2 linked regions of the Tamandua tetradactyla genome follow. The protein of the gene in region 2 purifies or fractionates together with the protein of the main gene of each other region. This does not show direct contact. Links are inferred from orthologs where the notes say so. Each region holds a gene or a part of one and is shown on either strand. Other genes may lie near its edges.

Region 1 (7,981 bases), on a different chromosome or scaffold from region 2:
TTTTTTTTTGGAGCAATGTACTGTGGTGATGAATGCACAACTCTGTGAAAATACTTAGAGCCACTCATTGTATACCTTGGATGGATTATATGGTATACGAATAAAAGTGCTAAAAAAAAAAAAAAAAGAATCTGATGAAGGTTACAGACTTTCATCCTAAGAAAATATATGAACCACAAACACAAGGAAGGACCCCAGAAGCTCAACCGTTAAATTGTAGACCCTAAGATAAGAACACCTGATATTTTAAATGACATTAATGCCACAGAGTGGATGCTGTCATGCAGAGAGAATGCAGCAAACAATGACCACAGAGCCCAAGGAAAGTTGGAGCAGTGCACAGAGGAGCTGGTCAGGCAATTAAGTCGCAGACTGAGCATTTGCAAGAAAACTAGGCAAGGGTTAAAGATAAGAAAGAAAGCTATAAGAAGTGGGAGCTGGTAAAAAACTGTCACATTCTTCTGAAATTGCTCTTTCTGCAATTTCAGAAGAGGGCAGGGATAGAAACCAGATGGTAACAGGTTGATGAGCTGATGGCACTTGTCCTCCATCTCTCTTAATTTCACTGCCTCCTCCACACGGCTGTCAGGTGGATTTTCCTAAAGGTTCCTATGTGATAATGCCATTTCCCCACTTAAAACCAGCCTCAGTGAGACCTCACTATCCACAAAAGAGGTCCTAATGCAGCCTGAAGGCCAGGTCCCACAGACCTGCACCATTCTCCTGCCCTGGCCTTGTCTCCACTTAGCTCCAAATGGTTGTGGGTCCTCTCTCAAACACTTGTCTTTTCTTTTGATGGCTTTTAGCATAATGCCTAGCAAATTAGTTAAGACCTCAGAAAATGTCAGGATTTCTTCTTTCTTTCCCTACCATCTCATGGAGATGGTCATATAGGAAAGAGCACCGGTTTGGGAGACTCCTTCTTGATGAACAGTCCAGTCAGAAATCATTTCCTTCCACCTCTGCCCTGTATCTCTGACTTGTTCCCCATCACACTTAGTCAAATAGGCTTCATGTTTGCTGATTGACTCAGTGAGACAGGCCAGAGGACCTCAGGAAATGCTGACTCCCTGATGGACTCTGATCTCCCAGGGAAGCCTGTCCAGTGGTTATGTCTGCCCGAGTCCCAAATGTGTATATACCAAATAAATGCATACTTTTCCCCATAAAATGAAATAAAGTTTTGACCCCAGCTTCACAATGGATTCCCCCTCAGAAGATAACAGATTACCTCAGAATGCGGACTCATGAGGTAGCTCAAAGATCTAAAATATTAAATTGAACACTGTTTTCTGCAGGGAATAACTTGGGCCCTATTTGGCTCACAAAAGGGGACCACCTAGCATGAAGTTCACCTCTAACCCACCTCCAAGCAGTGTGACTGGGTGCCAACTGCCTTTCCTGACCTCACCAGCCAAAATGCATCACAATTTTTAAGGAAAGAATCATGTCAGCCCTACACAGGCTCAGATGCCATGGTCACTGCTGTCCCAAGGTCCACCCTACCTCACCCTTCCCTGACAAGTAGGGCAGGAATGCAGTGGGACCTTGAACCCCTGTTGAACTGGCCGACTTTCTAGGGATGGGCTGTCGTTTATTCTGTTTATAAGCTCAAAGTACTGGGTACTCAGTTGGCAATGAAAAGACCCAGTACCAGGAGTGATGACCACTCCCCAATTCCAGAAACGCAGCAAGGAGATGCCAAGACATGACTGGAGCCTGGAGGTCCGGGTTCAAATCCCCACATACTTTTTAAAACTCATTTCCTGGAGCCAATTCATTCCACAGCTCTGCTCTTAACTGGGAAAAAGCCATAATCCTGCAGTGATCCACAAGCCTGCTAGTAATACCCAGAAAAGCCCTTGTGGGCTATAAAGACATACAACTTTCATTGCTATCCCAGTCACCAGGTCTAAGACTCTCTGAATGATGAACAACAGTCAAATGAAGAATTTTACCAATCAAACTAATGACCTTGGGGTCTAACTTTCCTAAAATGATGGTGTAGGATGAAAACCTGTCAATCACAGATCTCATGACCTATTAAATTATCAAAACAAAAAAAAGGATAACGGATGGCTAGAAATTTTATTTTGCCAAGTGAGGATTTTTTTCCTTTAAATAACAAATGATGTGTGTCAATATCATTTCGTAAAAGAAAGAACACTTTATCAAGTAAAAAAGTAAAATGAAGGCGATGTCAGAAAAGCACAGCCTCCCTGAGGAAGGGCCGTGGGTAACAGCGCAGACCCCAGGAGATCCTGGAAGCGGCTCTTGCCGGACTCGGTGACATTCAGGATACGTCCTAACGACTGTGAAAACCGGACACCAACTCCCAACGGGTGTAAAGTTGAAAAATTAAGATAGAGGCCAGGAACTAGGGGCCCTGCGTTTTCGGCACCCGCCGTGAAGCCGTTTCCAGGCCTCCGCACAGCTCCCCAGGCGATGCGATGACACATCTCCCCGCCCGCCCCAAGGCCCCGCGCCAGGCCCCAAGGCCCGCACCCCGCCAGCCGAGGCCCCGCGGACCCCACCCCAGGCTCGGGACCCTGCCAACCGGGCCCCGCACCCCGCCACCCGCGGCCCAGGCCCCACACCTCGCCCTCCACCCCCGGCCTGGCGCGCAGGTCTCCCTCGCGCCCCTGCCGCGCTGGCTGCGTTCGGACCCCGGCCCCGGCCCTCCCCGCCCGCGGCGGCGCCGGGGCCGCTCCCACACCAGGGGCCGCCCGACGGCTCCCACTCCGCAGCGCCCGCCGCGCCCGCCCAAGGTCGGCGGGGACGGATCCCGGCCGGAAGGGTCGCCGGGCCGTGGCGCGGTAGGGCCAGCGCGGACGCCCCTCGGGTCGGGGTCTGAGGCCGGGTCCGAGACTCGCGGTCCCCCGGCCCGTCTGTCTCGGGTTCCCGCAGCGGACAGCGCGGCCCGACCCTCGGATCGCCACACTCACCCGGGAGACGCCATGAGCGCGGCGAGGTCTCGGCGCGGCACCTCCTCCGCTTCCTCCGCGCGGCGACTCCGCGCCGGGGAGGGGCCTCAGTCCGCCAGCCCGTCCGCCGGGCGGCCGGCCGCGCTCCAGGCGGGGGTGGGGATAGGGGTTCGGGAGCCAAGCGAGGGTCGGGCCCAGGCGGGCAAGGCCCGGGGCGGGTCAGGGCCTAGAGTGGAGGTGGGACCAACCGGGAGGTTCCGGGGGCCGGGAAGGGTCGGGGGTCCCTGGGTAGAGCAGGGTTGGGGGAATTCGGGGCCAGGGTCTTCCCACTGCCCCAGCCTGCCCTGACGCCGAGTCCGCACTGCCTCGGGGCCACGAACCAGCTACAAACCCGGGCCAATGCCAGGTCTCTCTGCGATTAGGGTTTAATTTCCTTAAGAAAAGCCTTTTGTTGAGTCCTGGAATGTAAGGCATTGTTATTATTATGAAACAACCCTATCCTTCCTGGTTACTTTCTGTGTGGTCTTGGATAAGTTGCCTCTCTGAGCCTCTGTTATCCTTTGTAAAATGTGTGTAAAATTGCATTGTGAAGCCCTAAGGAATATAAGACATTTTTATTCTTCTTTACATTGTATCGGTTAGCAATAGTAATAATACTATAACATAATATAACAATGAGACTAGAATTCCAGCGGTGCGGGGAGGAGGGATTTCATAGTACCACCCACAGGCAGTATGTAATTTTTGTGCCTCAAGCCTCTGAAAAATGAGATAACAGATCTTTTAAGTGAAAACATTAGTAAAAATCTCTGGGCAAATAAAAACTATTGTTGATAGCATTTTTGCGTTATATTGTTGAACGACAAATCAGAGTCGAGTTTGCAGACTGCAGCATTTTATTCGGGCCACCAAAGTTTTGCTGCAGCAAAGAAAGCCAGATCACTTGCAAGACCAGAAGCAGCTTCCGGGTTCTAGGGATGGCAAATGATTTTTCTAGACATAAAAAGGAAGTTAGTTTGACTCTTATTGATTGGACAAGGGTTTGTCTGTCTTATAGGGGGCGGGTTTAGGGCAGGTGGGCTTTATTTTGTATTGGGTCAAACCTAATGAATTAGGAGCTTGATCGGTTACTAGGTCAATTGCCTTGGTGGGGATTTCAAATTTCAAAAGAGAAAGAGGAAACTCAAGAGAGAATTCAAAGAAGAAGTAGGGCATGGGTTTTTTCGTTGTTGTTTTCTCTGTGTGTGTGTGTGTGTGTGTGTGTGTGTGTGTGTGTGTGTTTTGACTCTGAGTGCTCCCCGGGCCCATTAAATTAAATTATTTTTAATTTTTAAAGTAATAAGTATTAATAATTATTATTTTGTTATTATTTTTACTCCTAATAATAGGGAAAATCAAAGTAGTGACTGAAATCCTTGGCACTGGAGCCAGAAAATGACTTACAGCTCTATGACCTTAGACAAGATAGAACCTGCCCAAAACCACAGTTTTCTCACTTGAAAAATGGGTTTAAGTTCCTTTCTTTCTATGAGGATTAAATGAGTTATGTTTGTAAAGTGATTAATATTTTTTCTGCCAGACTTTCCCTTTCAGAGAAGCCATTCTACTTTTCTGAGCATCCTGGTCTTCTTTGGTATAATGGAAGCTCACTACTGACTGTTGCCTTGAATTCAGAAAATAATTAATGGTCAGTAGTTTCGAGATGATATGTACAGCCAAAGACCGAAATCCCAGAAAAAACAGGATTAGGAAGGGTTTTCAGGAAAAGGCAACATCTAAATGGCCTGGTGGAAGGATGCATTGTGCCACTGGAATTAGGGAGTTCAGGTAATTTCCTTTTTTATTAAGCTTTTCTAGCTTCCTAGGCTGCTCAAGCAAATACCATGCAATATGTTGACTTAAACCATGGGAATTTATTAGCTTATGGTTTTGAAGCTAAAAGAAAGTCCAATCAAGGCATTATCAAGGCAATGCTTTCTTTCCCAGAGACCCGCATTCTGCAGCTGGCTACTAGCAATCCTTGGCTCCTCTGCCACATGGAAAGGCACATGGCGGTGTCTGCTGGTCTCTTCCTTCTCTTCCAGGTTTCACTGATTTCAACTTCTTGCCTCTGTGGCTTTCTCTCTCTGTGTCTAATTTTCAATCTGTTGTAAAGGACTCCAGTAATAAGATCAAGACCCATCCTGAATGAGGTGGGTCACACCTGGTTTCGGTTTGCTAAATCTGCCAGAATGCAGTATACCAGAAATGGGTTGGCTTTTTCAGATAGGGATTTATTAGGTTACAAGTTTACAGTTCTAAGGCTGTTAAATGTTCAAATCAAGTCATCAGCATGACAATACCTTCTCTGAGGAAAGGCTGCTGGCATCCAGGGTTCCTCTGTCACACAGGAAGGCACATGGCAATGTTTCCTGGTCCTTCTCTCCTGTTCTAGTTTCCAAATGGGTCTCTCAGCTCCTGTAGGTCCTTGCTTGTTTCTCACAGGGCATTTGTTTCTCTGAGCCGTCTCCAAAATGTCTCTTTTTACCTCTCATAAAGCACTCCAGAAAGGGAATTAAGACCCACCTTGAATGGGCTGGATCACATCTCCATGGGAACAACCTAAGCTAAAATTCCTACCTACAATAGCTCTGTACCCAAAGGGATGAATTAAAAGAACATAGGCTTCCCTGGGGTATGTAACAGAGTCAAACCAGGATACACCTTAACTGAAGTAGCTTCATCAAAAGGTCCTACTTACAATGGGTTCATACCCATAAGAATGGATTAAATTTAAGAAAAAGTTTTCTGGGATACCTATGGCTTCAAACCACCACACTTCACCCTCTGGACCCAAAAAGACATGTCCCTTATGCAAAACACATTAATTCCACTCACAGTATCCCAAAAACCTTAAGTCATTTCAGAAACAATGCTTACTGCAAAATCTTACCAAAATCACTTATAGGTATGTTCTGTCCTGGGGCACAATTCTCCTCCATCTGTGAACCTATGAAACCTATAGAACAAGATATCTGCTTCCAGTACACAAAGAAGGGAGAGGTATAGGATTAACATTCCCATTCCCATAGGGAGAAATTGCAAAACCCAGCAGGGCATACTCCATTCGATTTCAAGTTCTGAGAGTCATCTATGGAATGATGGATTGTCCTCTGGGACTGGTGTAGCAGCAGCCTCACCCCTTCCAAATGCTTACCCAGCAGCCATGCTTTCCCCAAACACAAGCGTAAAGATTCTACCCTTTCCCAGCATCAGGATGGAAACCAGGCTCTCCACTAACTCCAGGGCACAGGACCAAATCTCTCAAAACACTGGGGTGGCAGCACTCTTCTTGAACAACAGAGTGGAAGGCCCCTCCTCTCCATGTGCTGGGACAAATTCACCCTCTCCACATACATGAGTGGGCCTACTCTCTTGGCCTGAAAAGATGTCTTTGACCCAGACCTCAGCTTCTGTGGTCTGTCCTTAAAGTGATGTTTCCTTCAATCTGTCCATACTTTGTCCCTTTTAGTCCAGGCTGGCAGTGGTTTCATCCATACAAATTATGCAAAAATCTGTCAGTTTTGTATGTAGTTCACAGGGGTCCAAATCATCAGACAATAGGACTTTCCACAGATCCTTCATGGATAATTTCACCTCCAATCCTAAATTGCAGGGAAATTTATTGGTTTCATGTTCAGTTAAACCTATACATGGAGCACTATTCTCTAGAACTTGCTTTCCAGAAGCTCAGAATTTTCCAAACCATCCATTTCTTGTTACTTTGTGCCCAGGAGTTCAGTTCTTAGCTTATCCTTTTCCTTTCACATTTTACTATAAGCTGCAAGGAGAAAGCAGACTGCTCTCTCCACAATTAGCTTGTAAATCTCCTCAGCTAACTACCTAAATTCTTCACTCTCAAATTCTGAGATCAGAACTCGATTTTGCCAAGTTCTCAGCCACTTAAAACAAGAATCCCCTTTCCTTCTGTTTTCAGTAACACAATCATCATTTCCTTCTAAGGCCTCTTTGGAAGGACCTTTAGCATCCATTTATCTATGAGCAGTCTGTCTTCAAAGCAATCCAGACTTTTCTATCAAGCCCTCACAATTCTTCTTGCCTTTACCCTTTACCCAATTCAAAAGCCATTCTCCCATTTTTGGTATTTGCAACAGCAGCATCCCACTCTCCTGTTGCCAAAATCTGTTTTATTTTCCTTAGCTGCTCAACAAATACTGTGAAATGCGTTGAGTTACACAGTAAGACTTAATCTGCTCATGGTTTTGAAGCTAAAATAAAGTCCAAATCAGGGTGTCATCAAAGCAATGCTTTCTGCCTTCAGAGAGGCATTCACCAGTGGTCCTTGGCTTCCCTGTCACATGGCAATGCACATAGCAGGATCGCCTCATCTCTCCCTTCTCTTCCAGTTTCCATCAATGTCCAGCCTCTTGTTCCTGTGGCTCTTTCTTTGAATTTCGTTATTTTAAAAGGACTTCAGTAATAGGATAAAGACCCATCCTCAATGAGGTGGGTCTCATCTTAACTGAAGTAATCTCAAAAAAGGTCCTACTTAAAATGGTTTCACAACCAAAGAAAGGGATGAAATTTAGGAACATGTGTTTCTGAGGAACATACAGCTCCAAACCTCCACATAAGCTTGGTTTTTTTGTTCTGTTTTGTTTTTGTTTTGCCTGGGCATGCACCAGGAATCAAACCCGGGTCTCTGGCATGGCAGGTGAGAACTCTGCATGCTGAGCCACCATGGCCCGCCCAGCTTGTTGGTTTTTAAAATATGTTTTTTAAAATAATAAGTCATACAAGTTCAGTGAAGTTGTCTCCTTCCTCCACATGGGTTTTAGTGCTTATGTAACATTCCTTGCATAGAGAAACATAATATGTTTAAACCAGCCCCTACTATTTTGGATATAAATATTGCTACCAGTATTTGTTATTATAGGGAATGTGAGCAATAAATATCCCTATAGCCAAAACTCCCATACTCTTCTATGATTATATTCTTAACCTAAATTTCTAGGAGTTGAATTTCTGGGCCAGAGCATATCAGTATACACACACAC
Region 2 (7,755 bases):
GATGACTGTATAATGATATAGCTTTCATAATGTGACTGTGTGATTGTGAAAACCTTGTGTCTGATGCTCCTTTTATCTACCTTGTCAACAGATGAGTAGAACATATGGAATAAAAATAAATAATAGGGGGAACAAATGTTAAAATAAATTTAGTTTGAAATGCTAGTGATCAATGAAAGGGAGGGGTAAGGGGTATGGTATGTATAATCTTTTCTTTGTTTGTTTTTGTTTTATTTCTCTTTCTGTTGTCTTTTTATTTCTTTTTCTGAATTGATGCAAATGTTCTAAGAAATGATCATCATGATGAATATAACCATGTGATGATATTGTGAATTACTGATTATATATGTAGAATGGAATGATCATACATTAAGAATACTTTTGTTGGTTTGTTGTCAATTTTTTTTTAAATTACTAATAAAAAAAAAGAACCTATCTAGTAATGAATTCTCTTACATTTTTGCACAAATTTTACATTATGACCTCTGGATAAAATTTAGATTCTCCAAACTCCAAAATCTGTCTGTGCTATTTCAAAAGGTATGCTATATGGGAAACATTCAGTTTATTTCTTCTAAAGTGAAAACTACAAACCAATGGTTTGCTTAACAAAAGTAAAACGTCAAATGCCTCAATACTAAGAAGGAATGGGCAGTTCTAAATATATGTTGGTTATTATCTATGTTATTCTATAAGTCAATTTCATGGTGCAGAAATAGCTTTCTTAACAAAAGTATCTGTATTTTCCCCAGTTAACAACATATTTTGAAAATGAATCAACCAAGCTATGGGTTAAAATTAGGTTCCTCTACTAATTCCCATTCATTCAGCAAGTAAACATGGACATGTGTCATCATAATTATCTTCACTAGAGTTACTTCACCTACCAATTCTATTTCTCTGAAAAGTGTAAATGCAAAATCCTGCAGGAACTTTTAAAAAAACATTTTTAAAATTCACTAGAGAAATTTCTACACAAACTTAAGTCAGCAAATGGTTGAAAACACATCAATACAATAACCCCAAAGGAAGATGATGAAGGGATGTACTTACGTTTCAAAACAACGATCCACGTTGTCAGACATCAAAAGCAGCATGCATAGCTGTTCAAGGGCTATTAGTTGCATGTCCCTTTCATCTCCCTGTCCCATCTGTAGCCATTCCAGCAATGTATCCGGATCCACATCTGCCATGGTTTTTTAAAAGCCTCTTTGCTTAAATCAAAAAAAAAAAAAAAGTAAAGAGGCAAAGTCCTTTAAATGTCCAGGACTGATCTGCTCAGGTTTAAAAATTCTCTTTTACATCGGCTAGAACCAAATTTTCGTGGGGTCCTCCTAGGAATTAGAAAAGACTAGTAAGTATTTATGTTTGGATAGAATGCTATGCAGTGTTTCAACTTTCCTTATTCTTCAGGTTTCAAGTTCAGATAGCACACTATACTAAATAAAAACCAGTTTTGCAAAAGGTTATAAGCTGATTAGGTTGCTGCTTAACTAGAAACCAGAGCTGCCTTGGTCAAAGACAGTCAAACAGGCTTCGGATCCCACTAGTGTTATCGCTGGCGTCTATGCCAAAAAGGCAAAGAACACCTACTAAAGGTTCTTTCCTTTTCCAGAAAACTTCTTCCCCCTCCGCCTTCCAAAACGGATCTTTACATAAAGGTTAGATACAGTACTTTGAGGAGATTCTGAACACTTTGACCCAATTCTCCTCTTCAAGGTGAGTTTCTCCTTGAAAATTAACTCCAATTTTACAAAATCAGCTGACTTCTTAATTTACTCGCCCCTATTCTAAAGATGTCCAAATAGAAACTATAATTAGATACAAGATCTATCTATGAATAAAGACTTGGTTAGGAATTTTGGCAGTCTTGACAACTGTTCTTAAAACTTTAAAAAGAAATGCTAAAAGTAAACGCAATGGGTTTACACATTAGGGATCAGAATACAGGCCAACCCAGGGCTCTCTTTTTCCTATTCCCACAGGATGGGACAGTTGGTAAAAACAAAACAAAACAACAACAACGAAAACAGAAACAGCTCAAACAAGCAAGTCATTAGAGAAGCTCTTCGTAAGCGCCCTGACCGGAGAACAGCCTTAGGTCCCACGTAGCCCCAGCTGCAGGTGTGTGAATCCACCGGCAGGTCCCGATGGGCACCCAACGGCGGCGACCAGCGGGCCAACCCCACACGCCGGGCCAGGCCGAGCTCTGCACCGAGGGGCACTGCTACCGTACGTGCTCAGCTTTCCCGGACTAGACCCTTGCAAGTTAGCCACCCGTCGGGGTGAGGGTGGGGGTTGGATAGTTCTGGAGGAGAAGGCGCAAGCCTCGGTCTTGAGAGGAGGCCGCCGTGCCGGGCTGGGCGGCGGGCCTGCCTGGAGCGGCGTCCGGAACTCCGAGGCCCGGCGGGACGTTCCTCGCCGCGGCCGGGAGGCGAAAGCTTCTCAAGGGCAAGGGGGGGACCTCCTTGGGCTCCAGCTCGGACCGGGTAAGCCGGGCCCCACCGCGGACAGGGTGGGGGGAGGGGAACAAAGAGGCCAAGCAGGGGAGTCGGCAGCAGACCCGCCGGCCTCACCCAACCCTGGGGTCGCTCCCAATCTATGGCCAGCGCCCCGGATCTCGACCCCCGTCCCGGCCATTCGGACGGCCGGAGGAGCTCCCGCCTCCCTTTTCCGTGGGCTCTTACCCAGACTTCTCGTCCCAGACCGTTCCGGTCCGGCTCCAAGCAGGCCGCGGGCAGAGCCAGGCCCGGCCGCGGCCCTCGAGTTCCCAGGAAGCCGCAGGCCGCGCAGGTCGACCCAGACAGGCGGCACAGGAAAAGCCGCGCCTCGTCCCTCCCCTTCCTCCGCGGGGACCTGGTGACAGGGAAGCGAGAGGTCCCTCCGAGCGGCGGCAGCCAGCGCAGGCACCTTCCCGGACACGCGGCTCCTCAGGCCCTACAGCTCAGAGGCCCGCGCGACGCTGCCGGCGGCGGCGCGGAGAGGCCGCGTCCATCGTGATACGGGAGGGGGAAGGGAGGAGGGTCGAGCGAGAGCCGGGCGGGGAAGCTGCGGCGGGCCGCCGAGCCGCGCGGGGGCGGAGCGACTGGGCTCTCGCGGCGCCGACCCCGCGAGCGGCCAGCTGGGGCGCTGCGGGGACTTAGGGCGGCCCGCGGCGGCGCGGGGGAGCTAATCAGGGGCCCCGGGCAGCCCAGCGCGTCGCTGCCCCTGTCTCGGCGCTGTCGCCCACGGGGCCTCGGCCTCCCTCGAGGTGCCTGTTACCGCTTTTCTATCTTCGCCCTGGTGCCCTTTTCACTACGTTGTCAAGCCGAGCCCTCTCCCGGCACCGAGCGCACCCTCGTGCCCGCGCGCTCAGCTGGCTTTGCGCCGCGTCTGCATACTCGGCGCCCTCCTGCCCAAGGCCCCCCGCGCTGCGCGTCAAAGCTGCAACCCAACCTGTGCCCATGGAGTCTTCCGCCCCGGCAACCCTGAGCTTCCCCGTCCCCTCCAGCCACCCCGCCTTTCGCACGGAAATGCTCATTCTGGGCTAAAAGATAGAGCTCAGCTCTCCGGCCCTAGTGGGAGGAAAAGGTTAGGCTTTAGGGGGCAAACCGAGCGCTGTTCGCCAAAAATGAAACCTTTCACTAGCCCGAGAAGGATCTGTTATCAAGTATTCTCTCCATTGTAGGGATGAGCGAACTGAGACTTCAGGAAAGCGTGAATTCACATCCAGCGTCCCTATTAAGCAGCAGCACTGAGAGTGGTCTTTTTACTTCTCCTGTGGCATGTGGTCACTCGAGTATGTCCGGCGTTATTTCTCTTCAAACTTCTCATTTCATAGTCCTGATTATAGAACGTATTTGAACATATTTGGTTCGTGAGACAATAAACCCCATGCCACAGAGTCCTACCATACTTTATCATCTTTTTTTTTTCCATTTTTTGATTTTAATGAAATTATTTTCATTAGAATCAGTTTTTGGTTACAAAAATTTTACCAGGAAAATTTGACTTATCAGTTTTTTTTTAATTAATTAAAAAAATTAACTAACACAACATTTAGAAATCATTCCATTCTACATATGCAGTCAGTAATTCTTAATATCACATAGATGTATGATCATCATTTCTTACTACATTTGCATTGATTTAGGAAAAGAACTAGCAAAACAACAGAAAAAGATATAGAATGATAATATAGAGAAAAAAATAAAAATAATAAAAATGAAAAATGAAAAAATATATAAAAAAGGAAAAAGAAAAAAAAGCAAATACTTTATCATCTTTTAACAACAACAAAAAAAGGATATTTCATAATAGTATTTGATACCTGTTCCTTTTGGCAATCCCAGGAGCCTCTACAGATGCTTGTAGAACTGGTACTTTGGAAATTACAGATTTGCGTTTCAGATAGCTGTAGGCCCGTGTCCCACTGTGGAAAGTAATGGTAGGTTTCTTATTAACAAATCCAATCGAGAGAAAAGAGTAGAGGATTCCACTCTCTTTTCGCAAATATGACACACAATAATACTTATTTGTGACATGGAGCTGCCAGGAAAATATTCAAGAAGACTTCTGAAGGGTACAATGTGGACACTGAAAGAGAGGGAGAAGGATACCAGCAAAACCTGATAGGTTCCAAGGAGAGGAAAGACCACCTGAGTCCCCAGCAAAGAACCACCATTAAGCCATGGAGTTGGGGTAGTGGGCGCGGGATGGGGGGAGGAAGATTGGGAACAAAGAAGGGAGGACCTCGAAAGTGAGATGCAGAAATTTGGCATAAGGTAACTAACTAACTAGTTCTGGGGTAGGATGCTGATTTGAAAAATTAGAGTTTTAGGTAAGATTTATATGGCAAGAGTATTCAGAATGGTTGGAAAGAGCTTTGTAGAGAAGTAGATTAGCTGGAAGATTAGTTGGTGGGCGTAGGTGAGTGGAGGCTAGTTATTGGCAATAAGAATGGAGAAGTAAATGGAAAAAATATTTCAAAGGATATATAAGAATTTAGATGATTAACTTCAATTTTTTTGATCCCTCACCTGAGATTTGGAGGCCAGGAGAATGATGATACTATTAACAGGAAATGAAAAAGTTAGTAAAAGAACTACACTTTTACTAAATTTTTAAGATGTATTTTGCTTTATTCCCTCACCATCTCTACCCACAGACCTCACTTCCTATCCTCCAAATTAATGACTGTACTATGCTTTAAAGAAATCTCATCAGAAAAAAAAAATTGTATGACTTTTATTTTGCTTTTTCTATCATGCTTTTTTTTTTTTTTTTTGGCTTTTAACAAGGGGAATTTAATGAGTTGCTGGTTTACAGTTCTAAGGCTGAGAAAATATCCCAATTAAAACAAGTCTAAAGAAATGTCCAATCAAAGGCATCTAGGGAAAGATACCTTAGTTCAAGAAGGCTGATGAAGTTCAGGGTTTCTCTCTCAAGTGAGAAGGCACATGGCGAACACAGTCACAGTTTCTCTCTCGGCTGGAAGGGTACATGGCAAACACGGCATCATCTGCTAGCTTACTCTCCTGGCTTCCTGTTTCATGAAGCTCCCTGGGAGGCATTTTCCTTCTTCATCTCCAAAGGTTGCTGGCTCGTGGACTCTCTGCATCTCATGCCTACATCATTCTGCTCTCTCTGAATCGTCCTCTCCAAAATGTTTCCTCTTTTATAGGACACCGGTAAACCAATCAAGACCCACTCAAATGGGTGGAGACATGTCATCCCCTAATCCAGTTTAACAACCATTCTTGACTAAATCACATCAACCAGGGAGATGATCTCATTACAGTTTCAAATATACAGTATTGAATAGGGATTAGTCTACCTTTATGAAGTGGGATTTATATTAAAACATGGCTTTTCTTAGGGGGCATACTTCCTTTCAAACCAGCACATTCCACCCTCTGGCCCCTAAAAAAGACATGTTTTTTCTATATGCAAAATACATTAATTTCATAACAATATCAGAAACCTTAAACCTTTCAGTAGCAATACAATGAAGTACAAAATTAGAGACAGTATAAAATCTCATCAAGTCAGTTACAGGCATGGTCTGTCCTAAGGCAAAATTCTCTCCATTTGCTCTAGACCATTGAAAACTCATAAATTATTTGCTGCCAACATACAAAGGGGGAACATTCATAGGATACATATACACATTTCCATAGGGAGGAAGGAACACAGGGGTCAAAGGACCCATATAGTTTCGAAAACCAGCAGGGCAAAGTCCATTAGATTTCAAAGTCTGAGAGTCATTTATCCTCAGGGCTTTAGAAAGTGGCAGTCCCATCCTTTCCAAATGCTTACGCCTGCCTCTCTCTGAATGCAACCTTGGGGGATATTGGGGAGACCACCCTTCTCTAGGCTCCACCCTCTCCAAGCATTGGGGCTGCACCCGGGCTCTCTGCCATCTCCGGGGCACACGCTCAGCCCCTCCATATGGTGGCAGCCAGGCTCTCCCCAAACCCCAAGGAATGTGCTTCACCTTCTCCAAGGCCTCAGGCGGCATGACTTCCACTGCAATGAGGTGGAAGGCCCATTCTCTGCCTTTGGGGCAAACTCACCCTCTCCATGTGCTTGGGTACATCTGCTCTCCTTGCCTGAGGCTTCTTGACTTCAGATCTCAGCCTCCATGGTTTTGCCTCTGAAGGTACTTTTCCTCCAATGTGTCCTTTCTCTGAGCCCCTCAGTCCAGACTGGCAGTGGCTTTGTTTTTACAGGTCCCAGAGCACTCTCGTCTGCTTTCTATGCAGTAGTGTTGGATCATGCCCATCAGACATAAGAAGTTTCCAAAAATCTTTCCTGGTTAACTCAATGTCCAATCTTGGCTTTCTCTGTCAAGTGAGAAGGCACATGGCAAACACAGTCACAGTTTCTCTCTCGGCTGGAAGAGCACATGGCGAAAACGGCATCATCTGCTAGCTTACTCTCCTGGCTTCCTGTTTCATGAAGCTCCCTGGGAGGCATTTTCCTTCTTCATCTCCAAAGGTTGCTGGCTCGTGGACTCTCTGCATCTCGTGGCTACATCATTCTGCTCTCTCTCTATCGTGCTTTTTAAAAGTTTTGTTATTATTTTAAATTCAAATATGAAAAAAAATTGGAAATGCGATCACAAAATGGAAGCATAACTAAAAGAAGTTAGTGAAGCTCTGAAGCAAACAGAAGATCCAGATGAAGGCAAGAGACCAAACTCAAATATTTATCCCAAGAAACTAGAAAGTGCTTAAATCCCGACATTTCACCATGATGCCCAACTCTTAAGAATCATGAACCACTGAGAATTGCTATATGCCAGCACAGTATAAGGCCCAGTGAGTAAGTCACAAACCTTATCCTGAATAAACTACAAAAGTCTTGTATTCACCTCTGTTGTAGTACTTAGCACATAATGTCATCAGGTACACTCTGAGAACCTCAAGGATGTGTGCTGGTTTGAAAGGATATGTGTACCCTAGAAAAGCTATGTTTTAATCCTAATCCCATTTTGTAAAGGCAGCCATTTCTTCTAATCTCTATTCAGTATTGTAGGTTTGAAGTTGTAATTAGATCATCTCCCTGGAGATGTGATTTAATCAAGGGTGATTGTTAAACTGGGTTAGGGGAGACGGGTCTCCACGCATTTGGATGGGTCTTGATAAGTTTCTGGAGTCCTATAAAAGAGGACACATTTTGGAGAATGAAGGAGATTCAGAGAGAGCAGAATGACATAGCCAGGAGAGGCAGAGTCTACCAGCCAGTGACCCTTGGAGATGAAGAAGGAAAATG

What was found. The genes of interacting proteins can lie anywhere in the genome.
Region 1: the proteins of HECTD1 (region 2) and URGCP purify together in Homo sapiens (affinity purification with mass spectrometry; 4 studies listed by BioGRID and IntAct, with this or other methods). This does not show direct contact. The link is inferred for Tamandua tetradactyla from reciprocal best matches to the Homo sapiens genes HECTD1 and URGCP.

The regions. Positions count from the first base shown.
Region 1 is NC_135327.1:64,852,934-64,860,914, forward strand, and holds the start of URGCP (up-regulator of cell proliferation), read right to left. Parts: upstream 3,017-7,981; 5' UTR 2,960-3,016; coding exon 2,946-2,959; intron 1-2,945. UniProt on the Homo sapiens protein: May be involved in cell cycle progression through the regulation of cyclin D1 expression. May participate in the development of hepatocellular carcinoma (HCC) by promoting hepatocellular growth and survival.
Region 2 is NC_135340.1:23,139,831-23,147,585, reverse strand, and holds the start of HECTD1 (E3 ubiquitin-protein ligase HECTD1), read right to left. Parts: upstream 3,017-7,755; 5' UTR 2,688-3,016; intron 1,335-2,687; exon of another isoform or gene 1,215-1,334; 5' UTR 1,194-1,214; coding exon 1,054-1,193; intron 1-1,053. UniProt on the Homo sapiens protein: E3 ubiquitin-protein ligase which accepts ubiquitin from an E2 ubiquitin-conjugating enzyme in the form of a thioester and then directly transfers the ubiquitin to targeted substrates.